Arabidopsis thaliana: one gene and its partner. The protein of the gene in region 2 interacts with the protein of the main gene of each other region in a pairwise test. Each region holds a gene or a part of one and is shown on either strand. Other genes may lie near its edges. The genes, in order: WRKY53 and ESP.

The links.
Region 1: the proteins of ESP (region 2) and WRKY53 interact in binary tests that used the Arabidopsis thaliana proteins (3 or more experiments, as listed by UniProt).

What each region holds. Positions count from the first base shown.
Region 1 is NC_003075.7:12,391,631-12,395,654, forward strand, and holds WRKY53 (WRKY family transcription factor), read right to left. Parts: upstream 2,353-4,024; 5' UTR 2,110-2,352; coding exon 1,706-2,109; intron 1,607-1,705; coding exon 1,036-1,606; 3' UTR 887-1,035; coding exon of another isoform or gene 770-886; 3' UTR 740-769; downstream 1-739. Other genes in the region: 3xHMG-box2 (HMG (high mobility group) box protein), read left to right, coding at 29-94, 178-348, 437-522, 595-679, 770-886. UniProt on the Arabidopsis thaliana protein: Transcription factor. Interacts specifically with the W box (5'-(T)TGAC[CT]-3'), a frequently occurring elicitor-responsive cis-acting element. May regulate the early events of leaf senescence. Negatively regulates the expression of ESR/ESP.
Region 2 is NC_003070.9:20,170,043-20,175,890, forward strand, and holds ESP (epithiospecifier protein), read right to left. Parts: upstream 3,908-5,848; 5' UTR 3,844-3,907; coding exon 3,811-3,843; exon of another isoform or gene 3,716-3,810; coding exon of another isoform or gene 3,701-3,715; intron 2,323-3,700; exon of another isoform or gene 1,946-2,322; coding exon 953-1,945; 3' UTR 673-952; downstream 1-672. UniProt on the Arabidopsis thaliana protein: Specifier protein that contributes to constitutive and herbivore-induced simple nitrile formation. Converts glucosinolates both to epithionitriles and to simple nitriles in the presence of myrosinase.

The DNA of each region.
Region 1 (4,024 bases), on a different chromosome or scaffold from region 2:
AACTTATGGAGTTTAAATGTGGTTATAGGTCGCAAAGATCACTGGAGAGGAGTGGAAGAACTTGTCAGACAAGAAAAAGGCACCCTACGAGAAGGTCTGTTTCCATACAAATATGCTTGCATTTCACTGCCATTAAAGACTTAAGACTGAATGATTGAGGTATTCTTGTTTAAATAGGTGGCAAAGAAGAACAAGGAGACATACCTGCAAGCAATGGAGGAATACAAGAGGACAAAGGAAGAAGAAGCCCTGAGTCAGAAGAAAGAAGAAGAGGAACTCTTGAAACTCCACAAACAAGAAGCTCTTCAAATGCTTAAGAAGAAGGAGAAAACTGATAATCTGATCAAGGTAATAACTCTCTCTCACTCACACTTAACTCACCAAGGTCTATTTCAACTCAGAGACTCACAGGATCATAATTATTTGTCTCTTGCAGAAGGAGAAGGCGACCAAGAAGAAGAAGAACGAAAACGTTGACCCTAACAAACCAAAGAAGCCTGCTTCTTCATACTTTCTCTTCAGGTATGAACTTACTTCAAGTTATAATCCGAATTGGTCTTTATAGAAAGTTCCTAACTTATCATGTTTTTACAGCAAGGACGAAAGGAAGAAATTGACAGAAGAACGTCCCGGGACAAACAACGCTACTGTTACTGCTCTCATTTCACTGAAATGGAAGGTATGAAAAATCACAATTACTAGCAACAAAACACATTGGCTTGTAACAATTTCCTGTTGTTAATCTATCTGTGCGAATACGTCTTTGCAGGAATTGAGTGAAGAAGAGAAGCAAGTTTACAACGGAAAGGCCGCAAAACTGATGGAAGCATACAAAAAGGAAGTGGAAGCTTACAACAAGAAGTCTGCGGCTACTACCAGTAGCTAGATAAATCTCTCTTAGTATTGAAATCATGTTCAAGTCCTGTTGAACATTCCTTATTATGCATCGTTAGATTACTCTAAGTACTTTTATGTTTTAACTCTCGCTGATCATTACTTACTAGTTACTATCTATTTCTCTGTTACAAATTTTAATTAATAATAAATCGACTCGTGTAAAAACGCGGGGAAAGTTGTGTCAATCTCGACCGTTGGATTGAACCAGTCAACAACGTCGAAGATCGGAGAACTCTCCACGTGGCCGAACTCGCCGTTGATAGTTCCGTAATTGTAAAACGGCGGCGTATCAGGGAACGAGAAAACGTCTTTACCATCATCAAGCCCATCGGTTCGAACGGTTAAGTTGGATTTAAGACTCTCGAGAATATCCTTTGGCTTTTGGGTAATGGCTGGTTTGACTCTGGTGTCTTGTCGCTTCTCCGGCGAGGCTAATGGTGGTGTTCTTGTGATCGCCTGCGAACAAGTGTGTGTTCCTCTGTACGTCACTTCGAAAACCGTAGCATCCCCGTCTGATCTCTGGACTTGTTTCGTTGCCCAACAGTTTTGTGTGCTACGATGTGTGCATCTGTAATAACTCCTTGGGAATTTGGCGCCTAAAATGTCTTTTTGACCATATTTTCTCCAGCTAAAGACATCATCTTGAGGTCCTTCTAAGCCTCTCTCTGGGCTTATTCTCACTTTTTCTGACCACTTTGGTAACATCTTTCTGCAAAAATTACCCAAATTTCAAATTAGTTTCTAGAAAAAATGAGATTTTTAAATTCAATTTGGTGAATTGTGAAAAAAGATATCAACAATTTGTTACCTTTTCTTTGAATTGAAAATGTAATCTTGGCGATGATGACTCTCGCTAGAACCTCCTCCATCGGCAAACTCTTCACTTCTCGGACTTCCGTTTATCGATGCCGGAGATTCTGGAACACTGCCGGGATTTGCCACCGGGACTACAGTAACCGGCGTCGGAATAAGTTGTACGCTCGGTGAGGATGACCAGTTTAGCAGAAGAAGAGATCTCTCGTAGGAAGAAACTATCTGCTTCACCAGAATCTCGTTAGTCTCAGCAACAGCCGTCGCCGGTGATGAAAATGATGACGACGGCGACGGAGCTTCTCTAAGTCGTGCCTGAAGCTTTTTGGCCGCATCAAATCCATTGATAAGCTCGCTTAGCAATGTCTTTTGCTCCCAACTTAACATATCTCTTCCTTCCATTTTTAGTATATGATTCCCAAAATAGATTTTTTTTTTCCTTTAGGTAGTTTACTCTAGGAAATTGATACAAACTATGATGAGAAAGATGTATAATGTGTGTTTTAAGTATAAATCAAGAATTGGTTATATAGATGGACTGAAAGAATGATATGATCAGAAAAATATAATGTGTGTTGAGTATAATTAAGAATGGGTTATATAGATTGAAGAATGATATGATGAGAATGAGAGTGTTATAGGATTGGTGATAAAAATGGATGAGTGTTGGTTTGGTATATAAAGGCATTGGATTTTCAGTGTTTGAAAATTTGACCAAATGACCAAACCATAAATAATTATTTTATTTCTTTTTAAAAGAGAGACAAAACTTTCAAATTGAAGAAAAGTCTTTGGTATAAGGAAGTATAGGGCCAGAGTGTAATTGATAAGTGGGGTGGTGGTAGTGAAAGAGTATAAGGTCAAAGGCTGACCAATTCAACATTTCAATTTTGTTAATGTAGTTGTAACCAAGTTTATCATTTATTTAACTATAGTGGGTTAATTATATAATTAGACAACAAAGGGTTATACAACTGTCTCTTTCAATGTACACTTTCAAAACTACGACTTTGTACATGTGATTAAGATTCTCTATTATTATATGTTTTTTTCTACTGTTAAAGAATTTCCAATATATGTTTTTTATTTGATTAAGAATATTTTCAAAATATGTTGGTTGATGCTTTACTAGTATGCATTATGCAACAACCTTTCTATGGATAATATTTCATTGCTATAACTATGAATTGTAATGATGTTTAATATCATTAATAAGGGAAAGGATATTCCACATTCTGTTTTAAGTACAAGTATCAAAACACATATTGGTAATTTGGTATAATACAATTCTTATTAACATTCAATAGATTAGCAATAACATAAAAATTATGTTGAATGAAATTTACTAAGATTTGATTGTTCTAGTTTTAAAATCATACACTTCTAAAAATAAGATATAAAATAAAAATCTGATGAGGATTAATTAATCTGTACAAAATTTCTTCCTAAAAACCCCTATATGTTTTTGTTTTGTGTCAATATATTTAAGCATACATTTGTTCAAGATATAATATTGTATTAACATGAAAAAATATAAATTTGTTTGGCAAAGAAAATAAATAATAGTTGCAGTCTAACAATATAACTAAATAATATTTAAAATGGTAGTTGCTTATACATATATAGTCTGTGAGTGATTATGTGAGCTATGTCAAGTTGTTAACTGTTTCTAAATAAGAAATATTAAACTCGAGAGGGGAAAATAATACAAATGGGTTTAATTTGGACAAATATATATGATATGTTCCATAAGAATATAATCTACAAAGTTATGTGATAATACACCAAGAGTATGACAAGGTTTTTGCTGACCAAGTCACCATGGAATTATCTCAAATAGTCATATAGGTGTGTGAATAAATATTTATTTATGGTTGAGACAAATGGCCATTAATTTGGACAAAATTTATTTATACATAATGATTGATATGTTCCAAAGAGAAAAGTAGAAAAAACCAGTCACTGTGTGATACGATATATACAATACAACAAGAGTATGATAAGGTCTTTGCTGACTAAGTCCAACATCAAGCTATCTAAAGTAGTCAGATCGATAGATGCATTCCATTCCAACATTCATTTCTTATGATTAATCCTTTTTAACTTTGTATGTCATCAAATATTATTCAATTGTAATTTGGACCTCTCATACGTAAGAAATAACCTTTGTAATAATTGAACCGTTATCCAAAAAGTTACAGCAAAAATCTCATAGCTGAAGTTGACACACACGAGTGTAGTGTACAGGACCAATAACCACTAAAAGGTTTATGAACCATATTTACCGTTTTACTAATGAAATGGTTACTTTTTTAAA
Region 2 (5,848 bases):
CAGTGGTGTAGGCAGTGCCGGGTTAAGTAAAAAGGCGGACAATGCGACCGCCCTATATCCGGGAAATTTTCTTTAAAAAAAAAAAATGAGCACAATATTTTTTTTTGTATATACCAAAGAGGTACAAAAAAAAAATTATACATGCAAAAGAGACACAAAATATATATGTTTAAATTTTTTGCTATAAGGCACATAAATGGTATGAGCCGGCACTGGGTGTAGGTGGTCCAACCACGTGGCATCTCCGGTTCATTTCCTCCTCCAAACTTCTCCCAGACTTGTCTCAGTGTTCAACGCATCACCTTCGGTAGACAACGTCCCTGGACGGCTGGACCTTAATGTGCCTTTGGGTCTCGCCAGATCTCACCTCCAAATATTATTATATGTTTTCCCGCTGTTGCATATGCAAACACGCTCATTGCTGAAGGCTTTGCTCCCGTACTCTCTACTTCTGTGTCTGTCAACTTTCCAAAAGCGGGATCCAAGAATTGCACAGCATTAGACTCGTAGTCACTTTTCCCTCCAGGCAAACTTGAAGTCACAAACCCATAAACCACCCAAATCATGACTTGCGCCACAAGGAATCCCGCACCTCTACCCAAACTCGTAGTCACAAATTTCATGCTACGGTATATGTTAAGACTTAAAAGTTAAAACCATTGAGAGAAAATAAATGATAATACGATAAAGTTGTAGATAATTCAATCTTTAATTATTAACACATACACATAATTTGTAATAAAACAGCCAGCCATAAATAAATTGGCTCCTTATTGGACAATGATACTTAAGGAACCACTCACACAACCATGAGTAGGCCTCATTAGAGTAAAAAAGCTCGACGAGTCCCACACACAGATAATTTGTAATAATACAGCAAACCATTAGGGCTCCTTATTGGATAGTAATAAATATTAACGAGCCACACACACAACACAAATCTTGACACGCATTAAGCTGAATTGACCGCATAGAAGTAGAGATCATCAGTTCGCTCGTTGGTCGGAAGCTTTCCGCCATGCATGAGGAGGCCATTCTTTCCATCGACAGTGGCAGCAGTATAGGCAGTCCAACCTCGTGGTATGGCTGGTGCACCTTCTTCTCCCAACTTTTCCCACACCAGTGTCTCGGTGTCCAACGCATATCCCTCATTGGACAGCGTCCCGGGACCATAATGCCCATTGAGATCAGGCCATACCTCACCTGCAAATATTATTATATACTTTCCCACTACCGCATGGGCAAACACGCTCCTTGCGGAAGGTTTCGCTCCTGTAGTCTCTACTTCGGTCCACTTTTTGGAAGCCGGATCATAGAATTGCACAGCATTAGACTCATAGTCATCTTTGCCTCCGGGCACAATCGAGGTCGCAAACCCATAAACCACCCAAATCTTCCCTTGTACCACAGCGAATCCCGCTCCTCCTCTTTTCTCGAAGTTATCTCCTGGATCCGGTAGCTGAGCCCATTTCCCATCAGCAATGTTATACGCCTCGATTGTCCTGAACCGCGTGGGAGTATTCATAGTACCGCCTTTGCTCACCCCACCGAATACATACACATGGTTTTCATCCGAAGCCATCGAATGGAAAGTACGAGCCTCGGGTCCTCCCACCTCATCAAGCTTCGTCAGGAATGTCCACTCGGATGTCACCGTATCGTAGGAGCGAAAGTTTTCGAAGTTGCGGTTCTCATCGCGGCCTCCAAAGATATAGATCTTAGTTCCCACGGCCACCATGCGCACGCCTAAGCAGGATACAGTTGGGGCGTCTCCTTTGGGTTGAGCGATTGACCAAGTTTGAGTGTTGAAGTCAAAGACGTAGAGGTCTTTGTCGATGTGTTTGTTTGGTGTTAACTCGCCGCCGAAACTGTAGAGCTTGTCTCCGACCGCGGCTATGCCGTGTGAACTTCTAGGTCCTGGTCCCGTTCCTCCTTTCTGCCCCACCTATTTATCACCAACATAAATCATACGATGATAATGCATGTGTTTCTTTAATTTCCTTTGATAATTATGTAACACTAGATTTTAATCCGCGGTACACCGCGGAGACAATTCATTTTTTAAAATTAATATATATAAAAATCTGTAAATTATTTTATAGTTTACCATTGTTACTAAGTAACGTTCTGTCAAACCCGTCCTGCCAAACCCGTCCAAAAAAAAAAACTATTTACTTTATTAATATTGATCTTATTTATAATATGTTTATGAATCATTGTCAAAATATTTTAGTCGTTGCGGGACGTTGAACCCACATATTTTTCGCCAATTGGTTAATATATGTTCATTCTTAAAATTTCGAATCACAAAATATGACGAATTTTTTTTTGAGATCTTTTTAAACTCTATATATTATATAATGATGTTAATTATTTTTGATAGATTAAACTTTTTATAAATTCAAATATTAATAATGTTTTATGAAGTTTAAATATACAAATAATAATATTTTAAAAAATTAATATTTTTTGCCTTTTAGGTAATGATATAATAACTCTAAAAGCAAAAATTTAGAAGATTTAAATCTTTAAATAAATATTTTCATGTCTAAATAATTAATGTGAAGTTTATGCTAATTTTAAGGGATTGATGTGAAGTTTGTTTGGATTAAATTTGATTGATAATGTGATTGACAATTTAAATTAAAAATTTAATGTAAAATTAATTATTTTGGAAAAAATATTTAATGCTAATGACATTGAGTTGTAAATAAGTCCAACTCTAAAATTTATTTGATAAAATAGCTGCAAAAATGTATATATAGATGTTATATTAAAAAAACTAGATTCAACGCTTATTAGTTAATGGCTGTGCACAGTACTAAATAGAATTATTAATGATTAAAAATAGAAGTTTCAATTTTTTGGTCAACTATATGGAAACCTTTTAAATACTATGCTTAGGTGTTCTACTTAATTCAAGTATCATCAACTTTTCCTCTTACGTCTATGAACACTAAATTTCTAAAACACTGAATACTCAAATATCTAAAATTTAATTTCCGTACTTGACCCCAAAACAAAGTACAGTAGATTCTTTAAAATATGTTTACCAACAAATATAACATAAAATTATAAGAATCTAATTCAAAATTTTAAAGCATTAATATAACAATAATGGTATTCTCTTAAAAGTAATAACATAAAATTCAAACTTCCAAATCTAAAATATTCATATCCAATCAACATAAAATTTAGAAATATATAACTATAAGATAAGTCTAAAGTTGAAAAACTATATTATATACTAATCTTGTTCTAAATAATAATTTAAATAACATTACATGTTGTTAAAAATATGTCTATTGCAATAATAAATTCGAATTTAAACCGATCTGTATGAGGGTTTGAATATACATGATTGGTAATTTTAATTTTAAAGAAATATTTATTCAGATATCCGATCCTTAATTATCTCTTTAATCAATACCATGATCTAACTTGGAAAGCATATAAAAGTTATATTATAGCTTATCAAAAAAAAAACAAGTAACGACTATCAACAATATTCAGCCTTCGTGATGATATATACGTACTATTATTTAGCCTTTGTGATAGAATACTACGTACTGTTATTTAGTGGCAAACTGGCAATAACCAAGTTAACCTAGATAATGTCTTTTGTACAAAATTATGAACTTTCGAAAAGTTGAATTATCAATTTAAATAGAATAATCCGGGCGTTGGTATGTAGTTCTACCGGCTTAACCTCCATCTACTCATATGAAAAGTATGGAGGTCCCAAATTCGAGCACCACATCGGAGAAGGGACTTATTTGAATTGAAACTTTAATTAACTAATTAAAATATCTTGATCCACTGGCCTTGCAAAGTCGGAGCCATGGCTGCAATATAAGTATAAAAGTGTTTTCGTTTTCTTTATTTGTGTGTGTCTCTTTTCCTTTCCATGGTGTTCTATTTATAGGCCAGTTTAGTGTCAAGAGTAGGTTTAAAATAATTAGGTGAGTACCCACCCGTTTTATTTTAAAACAGTACTTTAACAAGTTATGTTTGATTTTCTTTTAGTTATGTTCATTTGTTGTGTTTTTTTTATATAACATATTAGATGCATCTTATATAGTTATAAAGTTAATTAGACTCATCTTGACTCAAGATATCAATTAAACATTTCTTGTAAGTAAAATTATAAACTAAATTATAGCCATGATGAAAAAGATTTTGGTGGAGATTATATTGTGTATCGAAACGAAAATTATATTAAAATTTATAATTGTACAATAATACCTTCTCATCAAACATTAAAAGTAAATTTTCGAGAAAAATAGTCGTTACGGTGTGTAGGCATAACCAAAATCTAACTGTAACGGTATTTTGGACCGTAACCGAACCGTTTATTAACCGTAACCCAACCGTAACCGTATAAAACGGTTAATAACCGTAACCGTTAACAGTGAAAATAGATCTGTTACGGTTAAGAAAATATACTAACTGTAACCGTTAATTAACCGTAACCGTATCAAAACCGTACGGTTAATCGTATTTTCAAAACCTTAAAATATAGTTATAATAGTGTATAAATAAATAATTATTTCACTAAAATAGTAACTTAAATTGTTTAATATGTCCACTACTATGATCGAAGTTACTCCACTACTCTTTTTACCATAAATCAAATTATAAGTAGTTCATATTATTATTATTTATACTCTTGAAACTGTTTCTTAATGTTCACAACATCTTCTCATTAGTATTGTTTTTGTTTGGAAAATGTAATTAATTCAATCATTATAATTATGATCATTAATTTTTTTATTCATTGGTTTACTTAAAGAAAAATAGATAACTGATTCACTATAAATATTTGAAACACAAAATCACGTAAAATAAATATTATTTGATATATCACTATTTATTTATTTTATTATAAAGTTTAAAAAATATAATATTTTGTCTTATATATTAACTATATCATAATTATCAAATAACCGTAACCGTATGTAACTATAACCGTATTTAACCGTAACCGTATTTAATCGTAATCGTTTTAACCGTATATATAACGGTTAAAATTAAAGTTAAAAAAAAATTATAACCATAACCGGTGGTTAATAAACCGTAATCGTAATAACCGTAACTGTAGTCATGCCTAACGGTGTGTATTTCGGTGTGTACTCCCACATTCTAACTATTCAACCGACAACATATTAAGCGTGAAATGTCGTAAATGGTCATAGGGACTTTGATTTATATAAGGATAAGTTTTAAGTTCACCCATTTTAATTTAAGCCAATCATTATGTCATATGCATACAACACATAAATAAAATTAAATATTAGACAAACAAATAAAATAAACTAAGAGTTGTTATTTAATCCCAACTACATATTTCGGTTTTTGTCTTTATCGCAATTATTAGTTTTGCACGTTTTCACGTATAAATGACAATCTTCACAGTTTTAACTATATATACTTTGGAAAATATATCTTTTATTGCAACTACTCATTTCCCACAAATTAACGTGCAACATTTTATCATAGTTTAGTATCTTTATCAAAATTTTCTGTATTGCATCAATGAATCTCGGTGCCGTGCCAAGGTCCATTGTCGCTTAAGGCAAACTTTTAAAATGTGACCTAACATATTATACTTTTGAAAGAATTTTTTTTTAATGTAAAAAAAATATAAGAAAACGTTGCTTAATTTGAAATTTTTTCATAAATAAATAAGATTTAGTAGTATAAACATTAAGAGGATATTTTTCAAAAGTATAAACATAAACAATGCATTTTTCCAAATTTACTCTACATTATTTTAGTATTGAAGAACATTTAACAAGACAATGATAAAACAAAAATGTTTTGAAATTTCTTTGAAAGTACTGCATAT